Linked DNA regions of Drosophila melanogaster. The protein of the gene in region 1 interacts with the protein of each later gene in a pairwise test. Each region holds a gene or a part of one and is shown on either strand. Other genes may lie near its edges. The genes, in order: djl and RpL22-like.

Region 1 (3,799 bases):
TCCCGGGAACTCATCGTTTATACGGACAGACAGATGGACGGAAGGACATTTTCAGATCGTCTTGGGTTATGGTCCTAAAAGTATAATAAGAAACGCTTCATTCTTCCACTTTTCTACAAATATACCCTTTAAATATTCTAGTAAAATTCTTTAAGTGTAAGAAATAATTTTCTATATGGTTTAATGAAGTTTGTTTTGCTTTGCAATTCGTTTTATTTATTTCTAGCAGTCAATTAAGTTCTTTTGGATCTAAGAGTTTCGTGGGAGACGATAAATTTCTCATTAGATTGATTTTGATCTGATGATCTGAGATAATAATGTCAGTTAAACTTGTATAGTTTTGGGGGCAGGTTAGATCTCAGATTCAGTTTAGATCCTGATTCCACAGACAAATAGTCTCCAGCTGTGGTTTTTTCAAAATTCTTTGTAAAACTTTTGGTACAAAATTTAAAAATTTTTCTCGAAATGTTTAAGAGAACCGCTTTAATTTTACGTCGGTGCTTTCAGCCCACTTTTATACGGCCTCACCACATCAATGTCCTTGAGAACTTTAAGGAAGGTATGCAGTGAACTCATATGCCTGGTTACCACTTGTTACTGTTAATACTACTTCACAACCGATGACCTTCCCAATCAGGGGCAAGCAAAATTTGTCGATGTCTCTATTCACGATCCGCAACACATTCGTTCTGCACTCGTCAGTCCAATGCAACGAAAGTTCTTGCAAGACCTGGAGCAGCAACAGACTGTTAGGATCAAGTGGTTTAAGGAAGGGAATCAGGATGAACTTGAAAACATGAAAAATGAATGCCGGAGGCTAGCTCTAGAAATCATCATGGCTGCTAAAGGTGGCGACATCAAAAAAGCCTGCAAGGAACTGGCTGAAAAAGAAAAGTGCAAGCAGATAGAACTGAAAAAGAAATGCAAGGAATTGGAGAAGAAGACGAAGTGCGCGAAGAAAGACCCTTGCAAAAAGAAAGATCCTTGCAAAAAGAAAGATCCCTGCAAAAAGAAAGATCCTTGCAAAAAGAAAGATCCTTGCAAAAAGAAAGATCCCTGCAAAAAGAAAGATCCTTGCAAAAAGAAAGATCCGTGCAAAAAAAAGGGTGGGGACCTAAAAAAGAAGTGCAAAAAATTGGCCGAAAAGGAAAAGTGCAAAAAACTGGCCAAAAAAGAAAAAATGAAAAAGTTGCAGAAAAAGTGCAAAAAAATGGCTCAGAAGGAAAAATGCAAGAAAATGGCTAAAAAAGACAAATGCAAGAAAAAGTGAAGCTTTCGCGGATTATTCAATGAAATACATACGTACCTGGTTTAATTCATTCAGCTCTGTTCAACGCGGCTTTATCTAAAATATGGTTTTTTCATAATATACAATACGGCATTTTACCGAAAAATTAGATTTTATTTATTTAAAAAAATAACAAGGGGGAAAACAGTTAATGAGCATGTAACCCCCAGCTTTCGAGTAATGAGTCCGTGGCAAGATTTCGTCGTTCATACGGACAGACTGATAGTCAGACGGTCATGTTTGTTAAGGAATCTATCTATATATATATATATAGATTTATATATCATATAAATAAATATGATTTAAAAAAAAAGAACATTGCTTTTATAAACGTAAAGTTTGGAAGTATTTGCGGCTTAAATATGTAATTAGAAATTAGTGAAGTGTGATTACCGTTGAAACGGATCTGAAATCACATATTCCTTTTAAAGTTTAATTCTATTATTATTCATTGGTCAGTAGGAATCATTCAGTTCCTTCTGAACTTCGCCTAATGTGTAGCTTAAGAAATCACATTAGATAATTTTTAGCACTTCCACAAGTTTTCTTAGACGAAAACGTCAACATGTTTGGGTAGTGTTCAAAAATTGTGAAGTTTGGTTATTTCCTTTGCTTAGCTTTTCGTTAAAAATTCATTTTCCACAAGAAAAATTCTAAATTTACCGTTATAATGCTAAAGAGACCTGCGTTAGTTTATCGGTGCCTTCAGACTTCTGTTAAAAGGTCCTACCATCTAAATGCACATGAACATTTAAGAAAAAAAGGTAAGAGCTCAAACGGTGACCTCTTAAATAGATAACTTATACTTGTTCGTACTAGAAATTCTCAAGCCCGAAAGCCAGCCTAGTCAAAAGCATAAGAAATTTGGAGACGGCTCCATTGGAGTGATTCATGTGATCAAGAACGAATATTATGGGCTCCCCAATCCCATGCACCGAAAATTCCGGGAAGATCTGGAGAAACACCAAGACCGGAGGAAGGAATCAAACCTTTCGTTAAAGGAAGAAAAGCGTGAAGATCTTGAAAAGATGCTAAAGGAATGCCAGAAGCTTGTCAAAGAAATCACCATGCAGGCTAATGATGGCGATGTTACGAAGATCTGCAAGGAACTAGCCCAAAAAGAAAAGATGGACAAGGAAAAAATAAAGAAAAAGTGCCGAGAGCTGGCAGCAAGAGAAAAATGTGAAAAGGATAAGCTGAAAAAGAAGTGCAAGAAGTTGCTCAAGAAGGATAAGTGCAAGAAAAAAGATACTTGCGAAGAAGAGAAGCCTTGTGAAGAAGAAGATCCTTGCGAGAAAAAAAGCTGTTGCCCCAAAGATCCTTGCGCTAAAAAACCCAAGAAAGTTGACCCCTGCAAAAAGAAAGATCCTTGCAAAAAAGAGGATCCATGCAAAAAGAAGGCTGTAAATTGGAAGAAAAAGTGCAAGGAGGTTGCGGAGAGGGAGCAATGCAAAAAGCTGGCCGAGAAGAAGAAGTTTAAGAAAATGATAAAAATATGCAAAAACCTTGCGGCGAAGGAAAAATGCAAAAAAATGGCCGAAAAAGAGATGTGCAGGAAAAAGGCCAAAAAGGGGAAAAAGAAGTAAATGGACCGATCAAAACTAGCGCGGACTCATCAAAAAATCAAAAATATGGAATTCTTTAACATGTTTGATTGATTTGTGGTTAATAAAAACTTTTCCCATCTGGCTTTTCAGTTCGTAAAGTGTTCGAAAATTCTATATATTATCCCGGAATATATACCGTATATATCGTATAGTCAAATGCAACCTTATGCCAAATAAGACTTTCTTGAGAATGAGTAGCTTAACAATAAAAAACCTGGATTTTCAGTATATGCCGTCATGATTTGTCTTAGCCGTCCTAATAAAAAAAATTCAGTATATCGACTCCGCATAAGAATATTATTATTTTAATAATAGTCTACTTCACTATTTCACACACTTACTGTGATAATTACGTCAAATACAGGCCCATTTACTTCCCAGTTTTCGGAACATAATGGCGCAGATCGGGTCGAAATCCTCTTAGTTTTTGCATTTTAACCCGATTTGTTCTTAAAATTATCTGTTAAATTTTGGAACCAAAGCATAAAAAACATGTTGAAAAGAGCCTCGCTGGCGTTGAGCCACTACCCTGATGCCTGTTTCCGTGTCTGCAATTGTAGCAGGTGTCTCCGGATGTATCACATAGTGAAATGCATGAAGGATCTGAATCTTGTGCAGAAATCAAAACAGGACTATGGGAGAACGCCGAAAGAGCTGCAGAGCGTGTTGATTTGCCAGGAAGGCCGGTTTTCTAAACTTACTCATGCTTCTGCAAAAAAAATGTATGATTCTCGTCTTTTGTCTTCAGGTACTTGTGATACACTTAGCCATCGACTCGATCAGCCGTTGAGAAGTGCGTTCCTGGAAGACCTGGAGAAGCGGCTGAACCAGAGGATCTTGAGAAAGGATTTGTTGGATGGTGAGATGTCCTTCAAGCGAGAAATTTTCTGTGAAACCGCCAGTT
Region 2 (3,663 bases), on another chromosome or scaffold:
ACCATACGATTTGCATGACGTTTATGTTTATTTTCGCTTTGTATTCCCTTCCAGGCGGCAATCGTGAATATTTTGCCCAGCCTTTGTGTTCTTTTGGCCAAGTCGAAAAGAAGCCAACCTGCGAGTGCTCAGGTTGATTTCGATTTTGACAGCTGCCTGCCTGACTCACTCCACTGGGCTGCCTCGCTGTTCGCATTTTGGCTGGATTCGCATTTCATTAGCTCGTTATGGACCACCTACGGCCAGGCCGGGCCAACTGCTGACAGAGGAGCACCCTCTGATCCCCACCCATGGTTTCGTCCATTTGGCAGACCCACAGCGAAGCAATTAAGCCGCCTGGCATCGAACACAATCCCGTCCAATGGGGCAATTTAAGGTATTTACAAAAGCGTAAAAAGGTAAGGAAAACAAGACTGGCTCCTCCCAATCAAAACATGACGAATGCCACTCGAGGCCCTCTCCGAGATGTCAATCGTTCAAGTTTAAGTCGATTCGACCGAGGAACGCTCCGCTCCTTCCTCCTAACTGACCGTAAAATGAAATCTTTAAGTTCTTCAAGGGAACTCTGCAGCTTCGGATGAGAATACATACATATATGATATACTCTTGTTAGGGTTTTTTTTTTTTTTATTGATATTTCATCGTTGAATATGTTGAAGCAAATGAGCAAAAATTGTATGAGCCACATTGAGAACTAGTGAAACTTCAAGTGGGAAATTTAACAGAAGTATACTGAGAAATTTAAGAAGTCTACACACTTGAACAGCTTTCATGGGATATACATGTTTTCGAAATGCGATCTTTGTTTTAGGCAAAGGTTTTTCCGCCATTGTCGTCGGCAACGTCGTCGTCGTCGTCATCAAAGTCCTTGTCCTGAATCTTAAAGTAGGTCATGGCGAAGGTGTCCTTGGCCGTGGACACTACCCGCAACCAATCACGCAGGCTGACCTTCTTCAAATACCGTTTGGTCAGATACTTGAAGTAGCGCTTGGAGAAGTGCACACCGGAGTGGATGATCAGCGAGAAGTTCTTGGTGCGCTCGAAAGTGACCTGATCCTTCAGCTGGTTGAGCTTGTTCTTTATCTTGATGTGGGTCTTCAAATACTGCTCGAAGTCGGCGAGGTCCAGGATCATATCCTCGGCCACGCATGCGCAGTCGATCACAAAGCGTTGCCAAGCCTTCTTTTTGGCCAGCCTTTTTCCACGCAGAACATTCTTCGTGCGTTTCGGCTTGGGCTTCGGATTTGCCGGAGTGGCGAGGCTCTTTTTTACACTTTTAGCTTTGGCTGCTGGAACCTCGACATTTTCGGCTTTTGGTGCTGCGGCAGCTTGTTCCTTGGGCTTTTCTTGCACCAGGGCGGCCTTTTTGGCGGGGACAACCGTGGGTATTTCCGCATTGCCACGTTTAGGAGGCGCAGACTTTTTCTTATTGTCCACCTCAGGGGCAACGGGTTCCGGCACTTGCATCAAGTTCTTGCGTGAAGCATTCTGGCCTTTCTTCGCCTTCGAGACCAACTTCTGGTCAGCAGCTTCGGCGGCCTTCTTAGCCGATTCTTTCATGGCCAAATCGAGATTCTTTAGTGCCACGGCCGGAGCTTTGGCCACCTTTTTAGAGGACAAAGGCGGAGCCGCAGATGGGGTGGCGGTTTCTACAGGAGTCACCTTAGCCGGGGCTTTCTTCGACGGCTGTGGGCCCGCCTTCGATTTGGCCTTGGAAGCATTCTTTTTCTGCGTCTGGGAACTCATTCCTATATGGCAAAACATGAGCACACGCCTAAAATTTTGAAACAATTAACTTACTCCAAAGAAATTAGTATCAAAAATAGGTTTAGAAACACCACGTGACTTCCTCCGTTGAAGTTTGGCAGGAAAAGAATTAGAGTGGCCAAGTGTAGCAACAATCAGAAAGTAACTGCATTTGCGATCCGTGTGACCTTGCTCACAATCGACTGTGCTTACGTAGAATGCGAATGCCAATTATTCGATTATCTTGGGCGGCATGTTTGTGAAAAAAAAACAGGAAATCTTTAAGTGAAATCACGAGAAATGAGTGTGGAGCAGGTTGGGATGTTGACGCTCTGATTTAACGCTGATTAATTGGCACGAAATTATTATTACCGCTTGTCAGCCGGGGATCAATTTGGCCTTGTTTGTCGTCTCGCCTCCAGTTCGGCCTCAGTAATTTGTAGTTTTCATATTATACCAGCTCCCTTTTAAGCTCTTTTATTATAGGGTATTGTGGTGGATCGAAATCGATTTAAACTTGCGCACACAGGTTCGAGATAAGTTACCAAAGTGGAATCCACATGAATCCACAGAGATAGCTCAACTTTTCCCAATGCTAGGCAAATTGAATTCCGAAAGCCTGTTTAAAGTGTCATCACCTTCCACTCTCTTTGTCGGCCAGTTCATTTATTTCCGAGTTGTACAAACATTTAGCTATCGCTTCAATATTTTTTAAGCCACAAGGAAATCCCTAAATTGCATAACATATCGCTTTGCAACGAGCGCCATTTATCAAATTCAAATGAAAGAGTTGGCCACCAACTGGGATTTGGGATTGTGGATGGGAGATGCCACCTCCTATCGGCAGGAAAAATAAAAAATAAAAACAAAAGCAAAAAGTGCAAGCCAAAGTGAATTCCCGCGGAGCGTTTAATCAAAACTTACCGGCGAACGCGTTCGCTGACAATGAGAAATTGCAACAAATTCGCGCTACATCGAAACCTTCTCCCTCGTGCTGTCTCTTTCTGTCTCGTTGCAGCCGTCTCTTTCGCTTGCCACTGCCAAGAGCAAACAAGGCTTAAAAAGGATGGCAGGAGGGGCGGGACAGGGGTGTCGATGGCAGCGCAAACAAAGCGTCGCGGAACGTCCAAAGAAATGCAGCGATCACGTATACGCACCCCTGGCCACCGAAACATAACCCAAGCCCATCTATCCACCTTCTCATACCCTAACAGAGGGTATTACTATTCAAATGGACTTTGGATCATCCTAAATTGTTTATAATAAAAGAAGAAACCAAAAGAGTGAGATTTAGGGCGACTTTGGTACATTTATATGACCTTTCCATACTCGCAATAGAGATTGGAGAAGTCAACCCTAGGGTATTTCGGGTACGTACCACTGTTTTTCCAACGCCGCATGAAGCTCCTGCAGTTAGGATGCTACTCGATTTCCCAGCCGCCGACTGGATATTGTTTTCTGGTAGTTTTGGTTCTTTTTTTTTTTGGCGGTTTTGTTTCGGTTGCGGATATGAAAAATGATGCCGAAACGATTTTTACAACCAAAAGCGCTCCCAGGCGCAGCCTCTTGCCGCGTCCTCCTCGCGGATTCGGAGATGCAGAGATTCGGAGGCAGGTAGAAGCAAGTGGAGTACCTCCCGCTCACTGCGAGCACTCGAAGTTGATTGATGGGCCCGGCATTGGCGATTGGGCGATGGGAAAACTGCAACGGTGGGCGTGACGGCCCTCCGCCCCCTGCGAAAAGTGGGAGGAATGATCGGCGGAGTCGTGCGGCTTCTGGCCCGAAATCAATCTGGCTAAACGGTAGCAAATGGGCGGATGGAAAGCGGAAAATGGGATTGGCAGTGCGGAGGCGTCTTTGGCCTGGGAGTTTGCCTCGTTATGGATGGCAACGGCTGTCCAGGGACATCGATCACTT

The links.
Region 2: the proteins of djl (region 1) and RpL22-like interact in a two-hybrid assay, tested with the Drosophila melanogaster proteins (one large-scale study listed by BioGRID).

What each region holds. Positions count from the first base shown.
Region 1 is NT_033777.3:7,058,933-7,062,731, forward strand, and holds djl (don juan like), read left to right. Parts: upstream 1-1,834; 5' UTR 1,835-1,958; coding exon 1,959-2,052; intron 2,053-2,107; coding exon 2,108-2,874; 3' UTR 2,875-2,987; downstream 2,988-3,799. Other genes in the region: dj (don juan), read left to right, coding at 536-559, 638-1,270; Mst84B (Male-specific transcript 84B), read left to right, coding at 3,388-3,799.
Region 2 is NT_033778.4:23,245,978-23,249,640, forward strand, and holds RpL22-like (ribosomal protein L22-like), read right to left. Parts: upstream 1,917-3,663; 5' UTR 1,801-1,916; intron 1,749-1,800; 5' UTR 1,747-1,748; coding exon 808-1,746; 3' UTR 633-807; downstream 1-632.